Alligator mississippiensis: one gene and its partners. The protein of the gene in region 3 interacts with the protein of the main gene of each other region in a biochemical or structural test. Links are inferred from orthologs where the notes say so. Each region holds a gene or a part of one and is shown on either strand. Other genes may lie near its edges.

Evidence for each region.
Region 1: the proteins of FGF9 (region 3) and FGFR3 form a complex in vitro, tested with the Homo sapiens proteins (3 studies listed by BioGRID and IntAct, with this or other methods). The link is inferred for Alligator mississippiensis from reciprocal best matches to the Homo sapiens genes FGF9 and FGFR3.
Region 2: the proteins of FGF9 (region 3) and FGFR1 interact in a biophysical measurement, tested with the Homo sapiens proteins (2 studies listed by BioGRID and IntAct, with this or other methods). The link is inferred for Alligator mississippiensis from reciprocal best matches to the Homo sapiens genes FGF9 and FGFR1.

The regions. Positions count from the first base shown.
Region 1 is NC_081825.1:18,442,009-18,449,088, reverse strand, and holds the start of FGFR3 (fibroblast growth factor receptor 3), read right to left. Parts: upstream 3,084-7,080; 5' UTR 2,997-3,083; intron 2,873-2,996; 5' UTR 2,820-2,872; coding exon 2,639-2,819; intron 1-2,638.
Region 2 is NC_081830.1:18,131,436-18,139,525, reverse strand, and holds the start of FGFR1 (fibroblast growth factor receptor 1), read right to left. Parts: upstream 3,084-8,090; 5' UTR 2,904-3,083; intron 1-2,903. UniProt on the Homo sapiens protein: Tyrosine-protein kinase that acts as a cell-surface receptor for fibroblast growth factors and plays an essential role in the regulation of embryonic development, cell proliferation, differentiation and migration.
Region 3 is NC_081824.1:432,939,111-432,946,764, forward strand, and holds the start of FGF9 (fibroblast growth factor 9), read right to left. Parts: upstream 3,101-7,654; 5' UTR 1,817-3,100; coding exon 1,540-1,816; intron 1-1,539.

The DNA of each region.
Region 1 (7,080 bases), on a different chromosome or scaffold from region 3:
ACCATTCAATTTAAAGATTGAAAAGTAAAATGTGCTTTTACTTGGCTCCAAATGTTTATATTCTTTATACAGTTTCTTTTGCACAATCTTTTCCTCAACAGTGCCCTGCGCATTCAAACCTCGCCCCTTGCCCACAACCGACTGGACAACGGGACACTGTGACAAGCCAACCAAAAAGTTTTGCTAGGCATATTTCAGATCCTCTTCATTTGAGTGGCTTTCCACATGTGCATGTTCTACCAAAAATCAATCTGGTTTTATAGCCTTCGGGGCTGTTTCAGTAACACTGTGCACATCAAAAGTGCGCGTGTGTGAAATCTCTTTTCTTACAGAGGGAAAACTCTGAACTGCTGCAACTGACAGAGAAACACTTACAAATATGCTGTGCATTAGTGGAACAGAAGCACTTAGATCAGGTCAAATCCTGCTCACGCATATGGGAACGTTGGCACCAGCTTCAGTGGGATCAGAAACGTGCCATTACTTTGAAGAGCCAATATGGTAAAAATAGAACGCGTATGTAGACTTTCCACAGAAAATTTGGAAATTTTGGTTACGTCCCTGGGAGATGCATCGCCCTAGGACCATTCTTTTTAACCACTTCTCTCCTAGAAAAACCCTGAAAGACTTGGGTGTACACTATTTGTTGTATTTCAAATGTCATCTCAACAATTTCAGCACTCATTCTGCCTTACAGGACGGAGCAACACTGCTTCATTATAATACTGCTGTGGCCCCCAAATTTATAATCTGCAGATGCTCAACTCCAGGGGGCTTCCAACGAAGCTAGTGGAGACTTTCCAGATTTATCCTGGGGTTACGAAGAGCAGAATTTTGCGCATAAAAGCCAACCCTGTATATTTTTGGCCTAAAATAGGAAGAAAAATGCTGCCACTGAAATTCAGCAACCCCCTTGCTCAGCTTACTAGCGCACGCTTTTCTTGTTTCCTTTGCAAACCCCAAACTCATCTGCTTTGACAAAGTAGCTGTGATGCTGCACTATAAATCAATTCTTTTGGCTGTGAAAAATGAGCCAAACAAGTTACACTAAGAATCTGGTGTTTTATTAGTACTTTCTCAAAAACAAAACCAACCCCACGTGTGATTTATGGCCGTAACCAAAAGCGGGGGGGGGGGGGGGGGGTAGACAGAGTGCCCCCACCCCTAGCCTCCACGAAGCACATTTTTTTCCCCTGTCACTTTTTTGGCAAACATGCCTCAACCCTTTCCTGAACAATGGGAACTTTTTGTTTGGTGCAAGGAACCTTAAAAAAGAGTGAAGCAGGAGAGGCGACCTTCCATTAAAGAGCTTTGAAAAAATAAACAGACTCAGGTAGCAGCTGAGGCATATCAGAGAGACACCAACTTTAAACAGTCTCTCTGTTTTTAAACCAGTTTTTGTCATGTACCTTATCTTTCCTTACTCATGATAGAAACATTTTCATTCAAGGCAGGAGAAGTTAGTAGATTCCCATAAATATTTCCTCCCTTTCAACACGTTCGCAATCCAGTACATCCTCTTCAAAACCTCCTCTTAAAAAAATTGGGATAAAACAAGGGGTATCATAGTTCTAAGAAGCATCCATACACACACAAATGCTTGCCTCTCATTCAGTCTGGATTTCAAATGTGTGTCTGCAATCTGGATAAGCAAATCTCTCTGCTGTTGCAAACTCCACGTACAAGCTGTGCCATGAACCAAATCTGTTGATACATGTTGTATGTATGTGACTGCAGAGATGTAACAAAAAGTCCTCTAAGAAAGTGAGCTCAATTCTAAATCTATTCTCACTGGGTCATTCTAGCCCGGATAAGCGGGAAAAAAAAACAACTGCAGGACAAACTCTACCAAATAAACAAACGTCCTCCCGAGTCCAGAACAGAGCAATCTCAAGCACAGGGCTGCACTGTGGATCTAACTCGTATTTGAAGCTAAAGTTTCAGTTCTGACTTCGGAGTCTAAATGATCAACAGAACACTTTACCCCTTGCTTGTGGTCCGAAAGGTGCTTACATTTATGACTAACCTGGGATTTACTGTGTGCTGCGCTCCATCCATACAGATGAGCACTGGTTTATACGATCTGCCCTCCCATCACCCTACCAAGAACCGGCATACGTTCCCCTTTATCTTTGGCTGGCCTTTATCGCGCCGCGCGCTTGAGCAGCAATCCAGAGGTGCCGGCTGTCAAGTGAAAGTCTTGGAAACCTCTGGGAATGCAAAGAATCTACAATGCACGGCTCCAAAATGATACCTCTTATTAGACCGGCTGAGAGATTACAAAACATACATATATATATATATATATATATATATATATATTTTTGGAACCAAGATTTCTACATTTTTGCCTTTCTTTTCGTCTCAGAAAACCACCTACATCCCGGAACATTTCAAGTGGACAGTGGGCTTTGCCTCCCGAAAGCGGCGCAGGCGCCGGGCTTTGCTGCCCGAGTGCATGGGGGAGATGTGCGAGGTCCCTTGCAGCCCCAGCGAGGAAAGCGTCACCCTTCCCAGTTGGAGGGGTGGGGGGCGGGGGGGGAAGCAAGCTCGCCGGGGCGCCCAGCACCTGCCAAGCGCAGCCTGAGGGTGCAGGAGAGATCTGGCCCCGCACCGCCCCGAGCATCCTCCCTCTTACCCGTGGGCTTGCGGGTGCTCCTGTCCTCCGGGTCCGAGCCGGGCAGCGTGGCCGCCGGGCGGCTGCCGACGGTCCCCACCAGGTACACACAGAAGAAGGCGCCCCACGCAGCAATCATTCCTGTGGCCGCGCTCCCGGGACGCGGACTGGTCGCGGCGCTGCCCCCGCCAGCCTCAGACATCGCGGGGCCGCATGCTGGCCGCCCTGCCCGGGCTCCCGATCACGCTGCAGGCTCTGCACGGGCGACACGCGCGCGGCCCGTCAGCGGGCGCAGCACCCCCGGGCCCGCGGGCACCAGCAGGTGCAGCCCAGCCCCGGCCCGGCCCGGCCCGCCCCACAGCCCCGCACCGCCGCCTACCTGCCCCGCGCATGCAGGAGCCGCCGCCGCCGCCGCCACTGCTCGCTCCGCAGCCGCCGCGCTTGTGAGCCCGGCCGCCCGCAGCCCCACTGCCTGCCCCGGACCCCGCCCCGCGCTCCGCCCGGCCCCGGGGGAGGGTCCGTGCTGCCGCCCCGCCTGCCCCGCGGGCATCCCGGCCCGGCCCGGCCCGGCCCGGCTCCCTCGCTCCCTCCCTGCCCGCAGCGCACCTGGCTGCGCTCCCGCCCCTCCACCGGGGTCCGGCGTCCCCGCAGCGCCCACAGTCATGTGGGGCCGGCGAGCAGCGCCTCCCCGCTGTCCTTGCACCACAGCCGCCCTTTCAAGGCGTAGTTAAGATGATGGGGGGGCTCTGAACTAGAGACACGCGGGCTCCGCGGCAAGTTTTAGAGTCAGGAGGAGATCTGGGGGGAAATCTCCAAATGGGGACCTTTGCGTGCGACTGACACACGAATAGACACACCTCGTGATGTGGTTTAGGGACTCGGCGGGTCGTAATGCGTCGAGGCTTAATTTTGAGGGTCTGTAAGCAAGGCGGATATTTGTGGCAACATTTTTGGGACCCCTAAGGTGTGGGGCCCTGGTTTGCCCACCCCGAAGGCTGCTGGTAGCTGGGGGCGTTCGTGGGGCTGGGACTGCGGACCAAAGAAGGTATGGGTAGTCTTGAGAGCTGCCCCTGACACCGGTCAGGGACGGGGGTCCCCCGGTAGCCAGATTTGGGGTCAGGAAAGTATTTTACTCTGTGGTGGGATGGGTAGGGACTGTGGGGGTTTTGCCTAACTAGGGGGTGGGGGTGGCCCTCCACCCAGGACCTCTGCAGCCTGTGTTGACAGTGTTTCATAGGGGCAGGACGCTGGGTGTCAGGTCTGTGCTCTGTCAGGGTTGATGGTCCTCTTGTTCAGAGTTTAGATTATGGACTGCACGGGATGGTTTGGATAGGGCTGATCCTGCCTCAGGTGGAGGTTGGACTAGATCAGTGGTTCTCAGCCTTTTTTGTACCGGGACCCATGTGTAAATGCTGTGTGGGGCCAGGGGTCCCCAAGCAGCCCCTTGCAAGCTGGACCTCTGTCAGCCTGTGAGGGAAAACTCACAAGTTTCCCGTGTTTTTCCTCTTTAAAGGAAGATCCATTTTTAAAGTTTGTTTGTAAACCTTTCATATATTCTTGCAACCCACTTTTGGGTCGTGACCCATGGTTTGAGAAATGCTGGACTAGACCCCCTGGAGGTCCCTTCTAGGCCTACTTCTATGATTCTTTGATTTCTCCCCTCTGATCCCTTCTCAGCACCTTGCCACCGGTGTCCCAAAAGGAGACATCCATCCAGGGATTATAACAATCAGTAGCAAAGGGATTGAATTTGATGATCCTTGGTTCCTAACAATCTAAAGCGAATATTACGGCACGTGGCCACTTTGAGAGTCCCTTCCAAATGAAAGATGATGCTCCAGGTTTAAACGCGCCTCAGGTTCTTATAGGTGGGGTGGAAGGAGAGCTGAGAAGAGGAAAGAAAAGTTCTGGATGGATCTCCTCAAAATGACGACAAACATCCTTTGCAATCCTGTAATGCAACGTAATGTAATGCGATGTAACACACTAGCGGGGTTTGATGATTCATTAGGTAGTATTTCCACAGCAGGCTGGGTAGCTGCGTCTGTGGAAGTGCTAGTTTTCATCGTCGTCATTAAACAGGGACGATCCGTATTTTATCCATCACTGGATTTTCATGTACATCATTGCTAGAAATGTATGTACAGCTTACATCACACATTGTCCCTGAAGATTTCTAGCCCTGTGGTGCCTAAACAGCGGGTGGCATTATCTAAAATGTTTCATTATATTTTTAATGGGACGAGGGCAAATTGACAAAAGTGTTATTTCAGATTGCATTAAAGCAGTCCAGTAAACAGAAGCACAGACTCCAAGAAACCAGTTTTAAGAGACTCTATACTATAGAGCCGGGTTCTTTAGCATATTTCCCTTCCTCTGAACAACGTGAGGTTTTTCTGTCCAGCTTCTTCACCATGTGTGGAGATTAAAATTCATTAAAAATTTTACAGCTATCTCATCATCATCTAAGGCAATGCAACATACCTACAGATACAGCCAAGCTGACTCATTGACATGCACCATTTGCCATTAAGAGGTGATTCAAATTGTATCATACTGAGAATAAGTCATACTTCTGTCTTAATCCTCTTGACAAAGTAATTCACTGAAGGAGGGAGATGCAAATATTAGCACATCAGCCGAGAAATCCCTTTATCAGGGCAGCAATAAAGCGCTCTTGTGCTGGAGTAGTTCACCTCAGCCTGTGCGGATACAGGACATTGTCAGAATTATAAAAACCGAACGTGAGTGTTACAGCACGCGGCAGCTTTGAGAGTCCCTTCCAAATTAATGATGATGTGCCAGGTTTAGATCTCAGTGTAACTCTAGAGTGGCTCCTGGTTTCACTGGAATTACTCTGAGTTTGCACTGTTGTAACCGAGATGGGAATCTGTCTTGAAACCTTCATCAGTCACACAGACAGTGACATCTCAATATCGTGTCAGAGAGCATTGAGATGGGCCTGTGGCAAGGAAATCTGAGCGGAGACTCTTGAGTGACACAATCACTTCAAGTGAAAACAATGGGGGGAAAATCAGACGCATAACTAAGATGTGGTTAATCTACAGGCTCAACAATTGGTAAGATGAAAGACAGTTACTTTCACAGCGCTTGTGTCAGAGGTGGCAGAAAATCAATAATAATAAAGCAATTATAAGAATAAAAATAGCGCGTGGAGCAAATTTGGAGGTCGTTATCATTTTGAAGACATCCAGGCTCCTGTTTTTTGAAAACGTGATCTCATATTATTGTATTGCCAGTGCAAAGAAAATCAGAAGTTTACCCAGCATTAATTAATGAACCCTCACACTTCCTCTTTAATTATTATCATCCTTGTTCTATGAGGCAATGGAGACTGAGAAATTAAATGCCTTTCCTAAGCCACAAAGTGAGTCTAGAAGAAGCAGTAACGTTTCTCTTGCCTCTAGGTCTGTGCTCAGGATGCTAGGACGTGCTATCACATCAGGTGATGCCAAGTGCTTCCTCAACTTGGTGAAAATATGAGTGAATTTCAGGATTACCTCTTATGATTCCTAAGAGATGTAACAACCTAGAAATCAAATCATGTAAACACAACCCTTTAATGGGTCTGAACTGTTTTTCATTTGGAGCTTATAACATTTGGAAGAGCTTATGATACTTGGAAGCCCTTTACAAGAGGAAATTAAAGTGGGATTGAGATGGTTCTGTAAGAACTTCAAGGTTTGTAGCTTTCCCTAGAGTGGAATAGTTTAAGTTTTCCCTTTTATCAACTCCTGGCCCAGTGCATTCACATTGAACTGTGGAATACAGATCTGCTTAAATGCTGATTTCTGGAAGCTGGATCCCCACTGGTGGTAATTGTAATAGCTCCCAAGATATCATGTGCAGCAAAAACTCAGATTCTGGATTGTGTCTCAGCCATGCTCCCACTATAAAATCCATTTATGTGGGACTGTAAACACTACACAACACTGTTTGAGTTGATTTTTATGGTCATTATGCCATAAGGTACATACGAACCAGGTTAAGTACAGCTTTCACCTTAATTTTTTGGTACATTTGTCAGTGAAAAAAATCATACTGCAGGAGTGGCTGGCATTGCTAATTCTTTGTTTACTTTTTACCACTGAAGAGACTGCGTTTTCAGACTTCTCGTTAGGCTTATTGGTGACCTTGAATATCCCCAGCTGCATGGAAAAGCAATTCTCTTCCAGATGCTCTAGAACAATAGATGCCCTTTTTCCTTGTGAATATTTGATACGAGCGTACCTTGCTGTATTCTCAACATCGGATTCTGTTCACATTATGTTCGAACGACATATATGCTGCACTCTGTTCTGAAAGAGACTGTCCGTCTGCTCTCTAGAGAGAGCAACTTGTTCAAAACCCTAAGACAAGTTAGTGTCAAAGCACCAAGAAATTAACTCTAAGAATGACTGTCTCATCCAGTTAGCTCTCAGCTTTCCCCCCACTGCTCATTA
Region 2 (8,090 bases), on a different chromosome or scaffold from region 3:
CAGTAATGTGCAAAGCAGACCCACACTTGGAAAAATAAATATCCAAGCGCACAACGCGCAGCCATTTAACCCTTCCAGGCAACATGATGTGTTGTGCCTGGAGGAGCGGCCCAAGGACTCGGCAGCTTCAGTGACCTGGAGAAGATTGAAAGCTGTGTATTCTGGAGAAGGAAATTAAAAGCTCTCACTTAAGTGGCCTCTCGACGTCCGGAGCTTGCTCTGTGCACCACATCTGATAGCTGACAGCCTTCCCTGCCTGGGGAGGGATGTGAAAGTGTGGAAAGGGTCACAGTCCTGGAGGCCACTAACACTTAACAAGTCCCCCCGAGGTGTGCATTTATTCCAAACAGAGGGCAGCCTACTGAACAGGGGGGAGGACAGGATCAGTCCTGCCCCCTCATCGTGCCCAGAGGGCCCCGGATCCCAGTTCTACCGCCAGCTGAGATGAGATGAAGCTATGGGCTGTAACGTCCCCAAAATGGGCATAATCCTATTTGGCGGCTGGATAAGAACTCGCTGGCTTTTCCTGCACTGAGCTGAGAGGTGCGAGAGAAGGGGAGAGGACAGGCACGCGTCATTTCAGCAAGCGTGGCTGACCGGCGACGGGGACAAACATGCACCAAAGAGAGGGCAAAGACCTCTGAGGCCTGGCTGTGGTGGAGGAAGCTCAGCTGCCAAGGACTAGTGCATCTGTGAGCTGATCAAAACCAAACGGCCATTTCCAGGGGGGCTGGAGGCGCCAGAGCAGCCAGCACGTGCGTTGCGAATGCAACAGGCCAGCACGGCAGGCAAAGCGAGTTGGAGTTCCCGTTTTTCAACTCAGCACACAGCTAGGGGGAACAATAAAGTTGCCTGCCTGAGATCCTGGAAGCAGCTCGGGCTTCCCTTCCAGCCCGCGCGCCTCCCGGTAAAGTGGAATGGAAGTCACCAGGCAGCCAGCGTTCAATGCTGACAGATTTGTGGGTCCCGAGGAAAACGGCTGCTAGCCTGGAGCCGGAGGAGAGCCTTGCTGCTTCCTTGACCGTTCCAGGGCAGGGACTGTCTTGATTTATTTTAATCCTCTCCGAGCAAGACAATGGAAAGGCACCGGTGCGTGCCAGCCACCCCGGAGATTAAGAGGGGAAGTGCTTCTGTGTGGGGAAAAATGGCTGTCAGCCCCAGCAAAAAGCAAGGGCCCTCTCCACTGATCTCTCAAGACTTGGCAGGACCCCGTCTCCTGCACACAAGCACACACACACACACACCTCTGTTTGCACACTGCCTTGGTGGGAGCTGAGGGGAGCTGGAGCAGCGAGGTTTGTTCAAGTCTGAGAGCGAATTTGGCTTCCCCCATGTTGGGGACGCTGGGAAATGAAACCCTTCGCAGCATACACACTGTATCAGCCAAGGCGGGGGTAAAGCACGTCTTAAAGTTCAAACGTTCACCAAAAGGAAATGGTATGTTCAACCAGAACAGCTGCCCCTGCCCCCTGTCCATTCACAGCACATCAGTTAGTTATTCACCGCCTCCAAACACGGCACAGGAGCAATAACAGGCACCCTCAATCGCTAACAGCAGGAACTGAATAGGTTAAAAGCAACTACGTGACTCAAGGTTTGGTTGGAAGAGGTACAGTGGTTCCTCATCCCCACTGGGGTGGTTCACACAACGAACCAGCACAGGAGAATTGCAAATCTCGCCTCTGAAAATAGCAGCTGACTGATGCACTGGGTGGGTTAGATCCCTATACCACGTCCAGCCAAGGGAACGGCTTGCCAGCCCGGAGCGAGCATTCACCACTCCCGAACAAGAGGGATTCTCCAACGAAAACTGCAAACGGCTCTGAATAGGGAATGACAGACCCTCACCATCTGGCGGTGGGCCATTTGGGAAGGGAACAGTCCCAGTTGGTTGTAAAGAGAGAAGTCAAGAAGCGCAAGTCAGCTCCCTCTCCAAATCACACTGTTTTAAAGAGAGGTAAACATCAGGTTCCTATTTGCTGCTGATTTTTGAGCCTGTAGGGCTTGTGTTTGCTACCTCCCTCTGCCATGTAAGGGCCAGAAGTGTACTTTAAACAAACAAAATGAGGAGCCAGTATAATCCCAGGACTCCGAGCCCTGGGACTTGAAGAAAAACACCCTGGTTCTCTTAACACCTGTGACAAAATCCTGAGAAGGCCACTTGGCACCCAACAGTGATTTTCAGAACTGCCCAACACACCAGGCCCTTGCCGCAGAGGCGGCTGGGCTCGGTCTCCGCAGGCCAGGCCGGGAATCCGGTACCATCACAGCTACTCCGCGGTCGCACGCCGCGCTCAGAGTCCAAAGCTCACTTTGCACCGGTTCATCTTCACCAGCGCAAAAATCCTGCTGCTGGCACGCACTACGTCTCTTGCTGGGTCCAAGTGCCGGCAGGAAGGGCTCCCAGCAGTTTTGCTCTTTTGAGGATGCCATGCAGATGTGGCCCAGGTGGAGAGGGCAGGAGAACGGCCCCCAAACCCAGGCGCGTCCCCTCCCCGCCGCCTGACACCCGTGTTCCCGGAAAGGAACCAAGTGCCTCTGACAGCAGACAGATCCCCCCAAGCACCTCGCGCCCAGCCGGGTACCCGCAGGCCCCTTCACCAGCCCGCGGGGGAGCACCTCCGCACGGGCCCCAAGGCAGGGATCTGCTCACCCAAGAGCAGGAGCGAGCGAGGCCGGGTGTGGGGAACAAAGCGGGGCCGGGAGCGCGGCTCCCTCTGCCAGCCCGACCCGGGCCAAGCCGCCTCCGCGCGGCCGGGGAGCAGCACCTCGGACGGGGCCGGCCCGGAGCCCGCGGCCCCGATCCGGCGGCTCGGCGCACGTGGCCGCCCGCTCGCACTCGCACAAAGGCGCCGCGGGCTCCGAGTTGGCGCAAAGTTTCCCGCGGCGCCGCCGCTACTCACCGTGCGGGCCGGCCCTGTCCCGGCGCGATCCGGCCCCGGCAGGCAGGGCAGAGGCGCAGCCCCCCGGCCGCGCGGTCACAGCCCCGGCTCCATGCGGGGGGCGGTGCGGCCGGGCCGGGCCGGGCCGGGAGGTGCTGCGGGAGCTGGGCGATGCGCGGCCGCTGCCGGTGCCCGAGTCCCGGCGCTGCCTCCGCCGCCTCCCGCTCGCTCCTCCCGGCTCCGCCTTCCCGGCTCCGCGCCCCTCCCGGCCCGGCCCGGCCCGGCCCGCCCGGCCCCGCTCCCACCGCCGCCCCCGCGCCGCCAGCCCGCCCGGCTCGGCCTCGTGGGCCTTGTAGTCCCCGCACCGACCCGCTCGCACACCTGCGGGGGGACACACACGCACCCCTGCTCGTGGACACACACACACACACACACACACACACCCTGCGGGCACACCTGCTTGTGGGGACACAGACATGCACCTCCTGCTTGTGGACTTGTGGGCACCCCTGCTTTTGGGGATACACACACACACCCTGCTTGTGGGCATGCGGGCACCCCTGCTTGTGGACACACACACCCTGCTTGTGGACATGCAGGCACACCTACTTGTGGGGACACGCACCCCCTGCTTGTGGACACACGCACATCCCCCCCGCTTGTGGACATGTGGGCACCCCTGCTTTTGGACACACACATACACACATACCCTGCTTGTGGACATGTGGGCACCCCTGCTTGTGGGCACACACACACCCTGCTTGTGGACACACATACACACACCCTGCTTGTGGACATGCAGGCACACCTGCTTGTGGCAACCCTCCCCCCCCACCCCGGTGTGGACATGTGGGCACACCTGCTTGTGGGGACACGGACACGCACCCCCTGCTTGTGCACATGCGGGCACACCTGCTTGTGGGGACACACATATATCCCCTGCTTGTGGACACACACACACACACCCTGCTTGTGAACATGCAGGCACACCTGCTTGTGAACATGCGGGCACACACACACTGATAAAAATCACTGCTCAGCAGATGTGCAGCGTGCCGGAAGAGCAGGCCTGGTCAGCACCGCTGTCCCTGGATGGACTGCAGCTCTCACAGGTCTCCTACTCCTGGCTTTGGAGCGGGGCCGCTGCATCCTGAGGGCTTGGTGCAGAGCTGACTAGATCCTGGAGGTATGCACCGCTCCATCAGGGGCTTCTGGAGAAACACAGTGCAAAGAAACCCTCTGCTTGTGGGCAGCACCCTGCCTTCCACACGCTGCGTGCGGGGGAAACATGCTGCACATGCTGCTATGCCACGGCCCTCCCCCAACTCTGCTCAGCTTCAGCATCCTCAGGCTGCCGTCCCCCAGGCAGGGCAGGGTTGAGAGGGAGGGAGCTTCCCCCAGGCCGGGGGTGCCCGGGCTAGTGCTGACTGCACAGGGAGGTTCAGTTCTGACTCAGGAAAATGGGCAGCCAGGCAGGCCTGAGTGAGACTGAAGATAACTCCTGGCAGGCAGAGGAAGATGTGTACCAGGCAATGTGCAAATGATTACATGATAATATGGACCAGGACAGACAGAATTAGCCCTGTCAATCACCGTGACCAGATTTGAAGCAAGTACTGGGCATCCATCTCTAGAACCAGAGCAGTCCGTCCCCGGCTTGGGCAGCTGCTCAACTATGGATGCCCAAGCCTGTTATTGCATGGGCTTTTTTTTATTGCTGGGCTTGATTGATAAATACCCGTGGATGCAGGGAGTGAAGGGAGGGAACTGCACCACCCAGGACTGTCTCCATGCAGAGCAGGTCACCACCGTCACAGGGGAAGGGTTTCCAAAACACAGACCCCCGTGCCGTGACAGTGGGGTGAGGGAGAAGATGGACACCCAGAGCCTCTCACAAGTCAGTTTGCACAACACAACTGCCAGTTTCAGAATGAAATTAGAGCGAGCATCCTTCCTCGCTCCCCAGATCACCGGGAGCAAAATGCCCCACACATTGCAGCATGGCACCGGTGTCAAAGTGCCCTCCTAGCCAGATGGGTCACAGAGGCTGGGGTTTTCTGAAGGGCTCCATGCCCACAGTCAAAGAGCTCAGCCTCTGGAGGCAGGGTGACCCATCCCTAGTGTGAAGACCTGGACAGCAGCATGGGACATGAGCTGCCCATGGAGCACAGCAGGGGGGCAAGGACGCCAAGGGAGCGTGATACTCGGGGACAAGGGCTTCTTGCTTGCTTTTCACTGCTGTCTCTGCAGCAGGTCCCCAGGACCCTGCTGAGCTTTTGTCCCAGGCATAATGTGGGCCCTGAAATGGCTTTGCTAGAATTTGGACCTCAGCACCTCCCTGTGATAAGGAGAGCAGGGCTCACCCCTTTGCCCCTATTGTTACTTGAGAGATGGCTTCCTGCCTGGCTGGATTAACAAGGCAGAAGCCTGATGGAAGTGGTCTGGTATTTGGGGGCTCTGATTAAAGCATTTGTAGCCTGCAGAAGTGAGGGAAAGAATCCTAGCTCCTGGGAGGCGGATGGGTTTTGCCCATCATCCTGCTCCCGTGCTGGCAACCCCGTGCCATACACCAGTGCTTCAGACCCATAGCTGCTGGGTGTTGTTACCATCTGGTGCCCTGGGTACCCAGTCAGTACTAGTCAGTGCCAGGCCCCTTGCTGGGATGTGGAGCAAACATGCCAAGGAGACCTAACCACCCCTGCCCCAGGGGCAAGTCCTGATGGGGCATTGCAAGCTGTCTGTACTATGCCTATGGTGCACTGGTGTATGGCTCAGGAACCAATAAAGCTGGGCAGGAACCCTCCAGCCACACTGGCTTGCTGCTGGGGATGGGCTGTAGACAGGGACTCCATCCTTGTTCCCCACAGCAGGTTGCCCAGGGCTTCTCTTCACTTCTTCCAGCTGGCTGCCAGGTAAGCAAGTGCAGAAATCCATTGCATGGATTGCATACACCATAAGAAGGGGGGCATCCTTTTATGACGTGCATGTACAGTGCCTAGCACTCATTATAAATTTAACTAACTAATGGTGAGCAGTCAATTAATTACTGAACAATCATTATTCTTACACTGACAGTGGGCTCTGTGCTCGGCAAGACGCCAAGGGAGATTGTGCAGCCTGTAAAGATTTACACCCTCAGCCTCTGTTGACCAGCCCTGTGCTGCTCTTCGAAGTCCCCAGCACCCTGGCTGGGAGAAGCTGGCTCCCAAAATGGAGCACCATAAAAGACTGGGAAGAATGAAACAATAGGGCTGTTTTTGTCTGGCCAAAGTTGCCTGGTTAAAGATCTGCAGCCCCCCAAAGGGTGCCTTTTCAGTCCCAAGGCAGAGTTTAGAAAACAAAAGCAGGCGCATGGTGTTTAGGTTCAGAGAGGGGGAGGCAGGAGGACAAAGAGCTTCCCCTGAAAGGTTCTTGACAAAGACTGTGTCAGCCTCATCTCTCCCTGAAAGGCTGGAGCACACGAGGGTGCAGAGCCATCCCGAGGCAGCTGGCCAGCTTGCAGGCTAATAAACCCCTGCAGTCAGAGACAGGCAAGGTGCTCTGCAGCCCCACCGCCCTAGGTATGTGCAACAGTATCCATGTGCAAACACGTGAGGGATCATCCCTGCATGGTTGCACAGGCATTGTTTAGTGTGCACCCATGAAAGGGACTGCAGGCATCTGTATGGGTGCCAGTGCACATCTCATACCCAGGGGGTCCGAGGTGTGTGTATATGTACATACGTGTGCCACGTAGCTTCAGCCAGACTTCTGTTGCTGCTGGGAGCCTGCTGGCTAGTTGGGTGCTCTGTGGGGCCTCCAGGAGAAGACTGCAGGCTCCGATGTGACAGCCTGCCTGCGCTTTACCCCCAGGCCCCAGTGTGTGCTGCAGCAGGGGCGCAGTGGCTTGGAGCCTGGCTGCCCTGGAGCGTTAGCCTCCTGTGCAGGCGGGCCAGTGCAAACCCTTTGAGCCAGCAAAGCCCAGGCTCCGGAGTCCCCCACCTCTGCTGCTCCCGAGCCCATCCCCAGCAGCCTCGCAGTACCATTCCCTTTGCAGCTAGCAGTGCCCCAAACCTGTTTTTTCCCTTGGCTGCATTTCAAAAGCACAGCAACATCCCCCAGCTGCTGCCACTTGGCTGTTTATCTGATGGTAATTAAGTGAAAGTGATCCATCTGATGTCTCCAGGGAGCAGGCAGGGCATCCTTCAGCTGCCCATAGGAGAGGAGAGACCCAGAGCCCAACTGACTCCCTGTGGGTTTTACCCCCAGATGCAGCATTCAGAGAGCACTTGGCATTTGATCAATTGGGCAGGCAGCAAACGGGTGTACTGCATCCCATCAGTAAAACTGGAATCTGGAAGCCAAGGCAGAGGGGTGGGGGCAAAGCATCAGAAGGGTGGGAAAACATGGAGAGTCGAGGCCTGGGAGCAAGGGTTATGCCTCCCGGAGAGAGGAGTCAACATCTCACCCACCACAAACCAGCTAGAGGGTGCAAACATGCAATGCCTTTGGACCCCTGGGTAGGACCCTGCTCCCATCCACGCTGCCGTGACTCCACTCAGGCACAAAGCTCTGGACCAGCACCCATCTAATCCAGAGCAGGGTCCCTGTCTCGTGTCACGTACATAAGCAAGGCGCCAACTTGGGCTGGTTGAGAAGGGGGCTGTGATTTTTCCCCTTAGAAAAATATTAGCCTCCCTCAATTAGGGAGGCCATTGGATACAAGTTGCCATTGGATACATGACAACTTTGGATACATGCCGATTGAAGAAAGGTGCAGCAAATGGGAAAAGAGGGACTGAGAAGTGCAGATCAAAGGTTAATGAGTGCTCCAAGGGGGGACCCCCAGCAGGGTGGGGAATCGGGATGTGGTGCCACGAGACACCATTAGATGCCGCAGGCTGGCAAGACTCATAGCATGCATCTCAACAGCCAGGAGGGAGAGCTTCAGCCAGCACTGGGGCATTGCTTATCCTTCCAGGTGCCGAGGGCAAAAGCCTTCAGCGCTCCATGCTTGTTCTCAAAGCTGGGTCTTTTGTTGCTCTGCAGGTCTGATACTGTGATATGAGGCCCCTTCAAACTGCAGCAAGGGAAGTTTAGGTCAGATATTAGGATAAACTTGCTTACTAGCGGGGTAGTAAAGCACTGGAAAAGGTTACCCAAGAGGTGGTGGAATCTGCATCCTCAGGGGTTTTTAAGGCCCAGCTCAACAAAGCCTTGGCTGGGATG
Region 3 (7,654 bases):
CGCACCCAGTGCTCCCGCTTCGCATCTCCCGTACAAAGCGTGCCTAAGGCGCCGGAGCAGCGCGCGGCCTCCTGCCCGCCCCGGCCGGAGCGGCCCCGAGGCCGGGCAGATACGAATACCACCTATAAACCTTCCTCCCCCCGGTCGCTGGAAAGCCCAGCTGCAATTTATTGCATGTCCCTCCGTATTTTATTAGACGTTTTATTGCCTTTATCTCGGGTCGTGCAAGACACCGGAGGGAACTCCAGCTGCACTTTTTTTTTTTTTTTTTTTGGCTGGGTTGTTTTGCCGCCAGCTTTGCAAGGGGGCCAGCGGGGGGAGTCGGGCCAGGGCTCTGGGAGCTGCGGCGGGGCCAGAAAGGTGGGTGGGTGCGACGGGCAGGAGCGGCTCTAGAGCAGGACCCTGGCATTTCCCAGGGGCAACAGGACGGGCTGGGCCTCTGCAAGAGTGGATCCTGCCCCCTCCGTGCCGGAGCCCTTTGGAGATCGTCAGTCCCCGGCGGGTGTTATCTAAGCAGCCCCACCTCGCACTACCGCGCAGCTTAGATCCTGTTCGACATCTGGTAGTCAAGCATGCGGGGGGGGGGGGCGGATCACCCCAGGACTTTGTTTTAACGACCTAGTTTGAGTGCTGTCAGGTGGGTTCACTCACAAGTTAACTCCTTCCGAGAGCCTGGCCGGCTGGCTAGCTCCAGGGGGCGCGATCCCCCCCACACACGCACACCCCCCTCCTGAAACACGGAGTTTGTCCGTGCAGAGTGGCTCGGGGCTGTGTATTCGCCCAGCCTTCAGCCTTGCCCTGGCAGAAGGGCTGCTCCAGGCCCATCTGCCGGGGGCGCTCGGGCTCTTGGTCGTGGCTGAAGCCGCAAGCCCTCCAGCCTCCCTCCAGCCCTCGATGCTGAGTCACAAATAGCGCCCGCTGGAAATGAAATCTGCGGAATGCTCTTTAAAATTAGCTCCGGGCTTCACGCGCGCATAGCTCCGGAAAGCCACATTTTGCGGCATGCCGCTGCCTCCCTCCCGGCGGCCCCGCGCCGGCTCTGCCCTGGATACCTGCCCGCGGCCCCGCGCCTACCTTCCGGGCCGGCGGAGCAGCCTCTCGTGCCGGCGGCTGCTCGGGCAGGTGCTGCAGGGGGAGAAAGAAGGAGCAGCCTGCCTTCGCGTGCGTACAAGGCGGTAGCCACTCCCTGGAGGAAACTCGGTGGATTTGCAATGGTCGTGGTTAATGATTAACACCCCCCCCCCACCCTTTAAAGTCGCGAAATCAGCCCATTCAGTAGAAACGTCCTGAACACAAAGCCTTCCCATCTTCTTCTCCCTGAGCCGCAACTTGAGGACACGGGAGGCTGCTACTAAAAATACCGAGACTTCGCTAAGTGCTCTTGCTTTGCTGCAGTTGTGCCACTCGTCCAGCAGCAACCCCGGACCCCAGCCATCGTCGCCACCACCACCAGCAGCAGCATCCAAATCCAGCCTCCTCCCCCCTTAGTTCTAGCACATTTCATCACATGGCCGCTAAAGGGTTAAGGATAATACCTACCAAATCTGCTGTGGTCTTGCCTCGTTCCCTGGATAGTACCATTGGGGAAGATTTCTAAATGAAATCCAGTCCTGCAGTAGAGCTGCCTCCGCCTGAGGATCCCCTTTAAATGGTCCAAGTCAGTGACTGCAGGCCCCCTGGGTAGCCCACCTGCCTCGGACTGACCCAGGTGGTCACTTAACAAAACCGGACTATCCACCGGCAAAACAGGCACATTCCCAAAGGCTACTGCATCCTGCACACCGAAATAGTTCCCAACTTCACCTAAGGGAGCCATCAGAAGATTCTGCTTTTAGAGAATAAGAGCAAACAATAATGATGGTGCCAAACCCAGGAGATACAAGATTAGGTATATCCACTCCACTCCCCTCCCTACTGCGGTTACAGAGAAAATGTTCTTTCTTCAATCCATTAAATGCATAAATAAAAGTAATATTCTGGCTGGAGTGGCACAGGTTCAAGGTCAAACCAGTTAGTCTAAGAAACCACCACTTTCTACTCACACACTGACATATGTATAAACATCTATATGTGTATCTCGCTATATGTATAGATAGATCCCCAGCTCTTAGCAAGCAGTAAGGTCTTCAGCCCATCCAACTGTAATAAGGAAAAAAATCCGTAGTTTCTCCATTTGGTTTAAGACAAGAATGACCATAGCAACTTAAATACCTAGGCGTTATAGGGATTTTTTTTAAGATGCACAGGCTACGTCAGGATTTATGGATTCTGACTCCAGAAAGGCATGCGCTGTTTTTACTCTATAACAGACTGCATACATCAGCATGAATCCTGCAAAGGGGGGTGGGGGATCTCACGTTGTTGGCTGAGATAAATCCAAAAAAAAAAAAAAAAAAAAACTTTTGACGTCCAAATCTATTATCCAGAATCCTCAGGAGGCTCCGCAGATGTCCATTGGTTTAGGATTATTGGCGATCCACAAGCAAAGCAGAACCGTACAAGTGCTTGTGTCTGTCTTGGCTGGCTCGAAACAGGTGTTGCTTCTGCAGGGCTCGCTGTGCAATGTTGTACTCCAGCACTGAGCTGCAGCTCTTGACTGTGGGTCTCCATCCAGCACGCAGAGTGGCGCAGGAAGAGGCATTGGGCTGGGTTTAAGGTAGTCCTGATTGCTGCCGGGAGGATTCTCCGCGGTCCTAGCGCCCAGCTCTACCTGCTGCAATACCGCTCCCCTTCCAGCTCTGCCCTCCTTCGAGCGGCTCTAGCTGCTCTGCGGCAATCGCGCCTGCAAAGGAAGAAAGCGGCGGCCAGAAACTTTGTGGTGGGCAGGAGCCGGGCGCTCCCTGGACAAAGCGGCGCTGCCGCGGGAGGCAGCAGCTCCCGGCAGATGCCTGCAGTAGCCCAAGTCCACCGTGACATTGAGGAAACCCCCCCTCGCTCCGCTGCTTAGCCGGGGCTGGGCTCCGCCACTCCCGGGCTGCATCCCATCGGCCGCGGAGTGCGAAGCCTGGTCCCCCGGGCCAGGTGCTGCGTGCGGCCAAAGCCGCGGCTTGTGCCGCTGCCCCTTGTGCCCATCGCTGCAGTTTCAGTGCATGCTGGATGTGCCGCAGATCCCCCCGCCCCAATTCCCCTCCCTGGTGCATTCACCACGGCTGGACTTCGCAGCACCGCGGAGGCGCCCCTCGGGGCCGCGCGGGGGAGAGCTCCAGCTCAACCCGGCCGCGCTCCCCAGCCCAGCCCAGTCCTTCCTGCTTCGCTTCCCTGCCATGCGGGGCTCCCCCCTCCCAGAGCCGGGCTTTCCCCCTGCAAAGCGCCGCACACCCACGGCAAGGCTGGGCCCTGTGCCCCCCTCCCACGACGTCACGGCGCTGCGGGCCAAGGGGGGCGCAGAAGGTTCCCTGCAGCAAGGCTTGGGTGTGCTCACGTGGAGGGGAAAGACAATTCCGTGAGCCCGCTGGAAGGGGAGGAGGGCCAGCGCCTGGGGAGCAGGCTGCTTGGGAGGGATGTAAGAGCGCGGGGGATACTTCTCCAACGTGGCAGGGCACAAGGCTGTGCAGGCTGGAGATCCTGCCTGGAGAAGAGCTTTGCAACACGGACTTGCTGGTTCTTTTAGCTTAGGGGAAGCACCACAAACTGGAGTGACCTTTCCCACTTTCTCCAGGTATAGCAGCCCTGTCTTTTACCCGAGGGATCCCATCCTTCCTCTGCCCCTACCCCCTCCAGTGTGGGCAGCCACTTCAGAGGGAGGGACCAGGATTATCATTATCTCCTATTTTTGTGATCATGGTTGTAACTTGAGTATGTCATACTAGCTATTTTTATGAAACTAATTATCACACCCTGTTCCACTGACACATATGGGGCCTGTTATGCATGTATTAACTTTACTGTGGTGGTTACTGTTTGTATTATGACAGGATCCAGAGGCCCCTGCCAGTAGCTGTGTTGGCAAGTGCTTGATGCTGTACAAACAGAAAGAGATACAGTTACTGCCCCAAGGTGTCTACTTAGTAGGATTTAATTGTTCAGTGGTAGACAAGAAAAAGGTAAGACAGCCTCTTCTAGCTTTATAAATAAAAATTGTGGTATTCTTCAGGAAGGGCCTAAAGCACTGTTATCACAACTGTGTACATTGCTGACATGCCCAGTGGTGATAACTGTGAAAACCTGTAGAAATATTTGAAAAAAATGCAGAACTCCCTGTGTCATACATTTATTGTTGTCAGGGTTCACAGCTTTATTATAGTAGGTAATGTAGGCACCTGGGATAAAAGAGATGGTGTCTGCCCTGAAGATTTTATATTTCTAGCATATGATGAAAAACAACAGGTGTATGCTTCAAAGAAGGGAGGATAAGGAGAGAAGGCACAGACATGAATAGCATAAGAAACAGCAGGCCTACCTAACATCAAGCATTTTGTGACAGAGGCAAGTTTTAGAGAGAGCCAAAGAAGAACAAAGTAGTGGCTTATGGATATTAATGGAAACTCTTTTCATACCTAATGGGTTACATGGGAGAGAACCCAAAAACCCTTGCTAGAAAATTACTTTAGCAGTTAAGACTTGCACCATTGGCAAAGAAGTGGTAATATAACAAAGTGATGGTACAGATTAATATGTGTTGATCTACCACATATTAGAAATTAGAATTAGAAACAAGTGGAAAGGGTATTCCCAACTCCTCCCCAGTGATATAAAGAATACATTTCTAACCCTGCAGGATGATGAGAAATTGGATTTTAAATCTGTCACCAGTCCAAGTTTGAATACCATCCAGCCTGTGTTTCAAACCAATATTATATGGGAAGTACATTTTATTTTGGAGGGTAAAGAGATATTTTTGCTAGTTATTTTTTTTAAAGGCACTTAAAAAGATGCATATGCCAACATATACACATATTATGGGATATAGAAGATTTTGTGGTATAAAGGTTTTCTCTAACTTGAGGCTTTGATGTCTGAGTTATTTCATAAGGATTAAAGCCACACATGAATTATGCAGGTCTTCCCCAAAATTACATTAATCTGTGAGTAGGCAGTGCTCCATATGCTGTATAAAGTCAAATTTACCCCTCCACAAAAGTTTGGTTTCATTGATATCTCAAGCAATATTAAAAGTCTGCACTTTTATTCCAAAGATATTCATTCAGGAACATCTCTACCACTGGTCCCCTTCAACAAGAGATTCCCGCCCACCTCCCTATAGCCTGGCAGAGTTAAAAGACTGCATCTGCCACAATGAGTCATCAGAAGTTACTCAGCAGCTTTATGCAGGATTTTAGCTCCCACTGACAGAGTGGGTCAAAAAAAGCCCTGCATCCCTATGCAGGGTCATAAATCTTGGCACTGTTACATCATTGTGTATTCTTCCCACATGTACCACATCAATATGGTATTTGTGTGATAGGGTGAATGTATAATGTAACTTTTACCCAGGATGGAGAATACTCTATCCTGGACCAACCACATGATATATCTAAAATCCTGTGCCTCACAACCTTGTAGAGGTAGAAATGGATTTTCTGTACCATAAAAAATATAAGATCCAGAGTTTTCCAGTAAGATACATAATGTTTGTGTGTAGTCATAGAAATTCTTGAGTTATCAGACCTTAAATCGCTACATTTTCATATAGGGAAAAGCCTATTTAGTATGGAGTGCACCAGAGAAAAAGCTAAATCTATGTCTTGCTCCCTTAATCTGTAGGAAAATCTGCTCGTATCTGAACAAATTAATGCTTCAGACAATGTTAACTCTCGTTCTGTGTCTAAACCCCTATAACTGAAAAAGGCTGTTTAACTAGATGTGGATATAAGATCCATTGTGAGTTTCTTTCACTAAATGATTGCCTGCAAACACAGGGGATTGGTTTTGATGGCCCAAGAGTCCCTTTCCAATCTTACATTCCTATGTTCCTTGCCTTCACGGTGCCATGAAGAGGAGACCTGTCAACACTATGAAGGAATCAGATCTCTGTGGGGCTGTTACTTCCTTTTTTCCAGGTCCCGCAGATGTTGGAAGTTACAACATGTGCCTCTATAGGCTCCGAAATAACCCACTGTGTGAACTTAAGGAGGTTTTCCATACTATCCTGCAGATTTCATTGTAGGAAGACAAAGCTTTATTATTGCTGATCTAGCACTATGCAACATTTGCAATGGGAGGACTTTGCTGCATATATAACCAACCTGTCCATGCCTTGAAGGGTTTACTTTCACTAGGGAGATATGATACAGGATAAAATGAACAGAATAATACACAAATGAAAAACCTTGCTTGCAAAGGCAAGCATAGCTCTGAAATGTAGGCACTATTTCAGGCTTCATCACAAGAATTCTGACTTCGAAGGTACTTTGAAATAAGCTGTACGTATGAACAAACTGTGTTGCTGTGTTGCAGCATTTCCCTCCAAAGAGGCAGGGGCAGGGAGGGCAGTCAACTATTAATAGCACCAATGAAACCTGCAAAGAAGAAATGGCTGGGCAAATACTATTTCAATTTAGTAGTTGAAGACTGCTTACACCCCTGGCTACAAAATTCTAGATTACCAGAAAAAAATCAGTAATATACCTCTAAAATGATTTGGCCATGGACTTCAAGTCGCCCTACCCTATAAAATAAATGCTTATAAGTCTGAAGAAGATTGACGTACCAGAATACAGTTCATTTCCCATTTCAGAACTACATAAGAATACATCTAAAATCAGATACTGCTAAAAGACTAGAATCTTGGAGTATTTCAACAACCCTCATGGCACCAAGACATTGGCTGCTGTTGTCCCCTTTCTTCACCTACAGCAGGTTAAGATGTTATGTCTTGTGGTTCTGTCAGGGTTGATTGTAGTTTTGCCAATAGGTTTAACAATGGGTTTGTATAGAATGGTTTGGATAGGGATGATTCTGCCTCAGGCAGAAAGTTGGACTACATGACCTCTGGAAGTCCCTTCCTGCCCTCTTTCTCTATGATCCTAAAGAAGGAAATATGGAAAAGTGAAACACACAAGAACTATATTTTGCCTGTGCTGAGTAATTGACATATATAAAACTTTTCAAGCTAGAGGATTATAAAATGCACTGTGAATTTTACACATGGGATTCCAAGTAAAAGCTGTTAACAGGTAGAACTAGAAGATCAAACTAGAAAAGAGAAGGGCAGCAAGGATGGTCAAGGTATGGCAAGGCTTCCATGTAAGGAGAGACTTAATAGGCTGGGGCTTTTCACTTTAAGGAAAAGAAGACTGATGGGGATATGTGAACGGTCGATAAAATAATGAATGTGCCATCTCTCACGATACTAGAAGTACAGGACATGCAAGGAAATTATTAGGAAGCATGCTTAAAACTAACAAAAAGACATTCTCTCTCACACAGCATGTATTTAACTTGTGAAACTCATTGCTACAAGATGTAGAAGATGACAATTTAACCAGGTTCCAAAGAGAAATTCATGCAGGATAGGTCCATCGATGGGTATTAAACACAATAGTAGGCCTTTAATTGCTGGAAGCAATAAGAGAAGAACAGCAGGGGATAACTAAGTCAAGAAAGACCCTAAATAAATATTCTTACCTTTAGCATCTATTCTGTGCCACTGTGCAGTTGAGAATACTGAGCTCATTGGACTCGTGGTATGACCCAGTATGGCATGTCTTACATT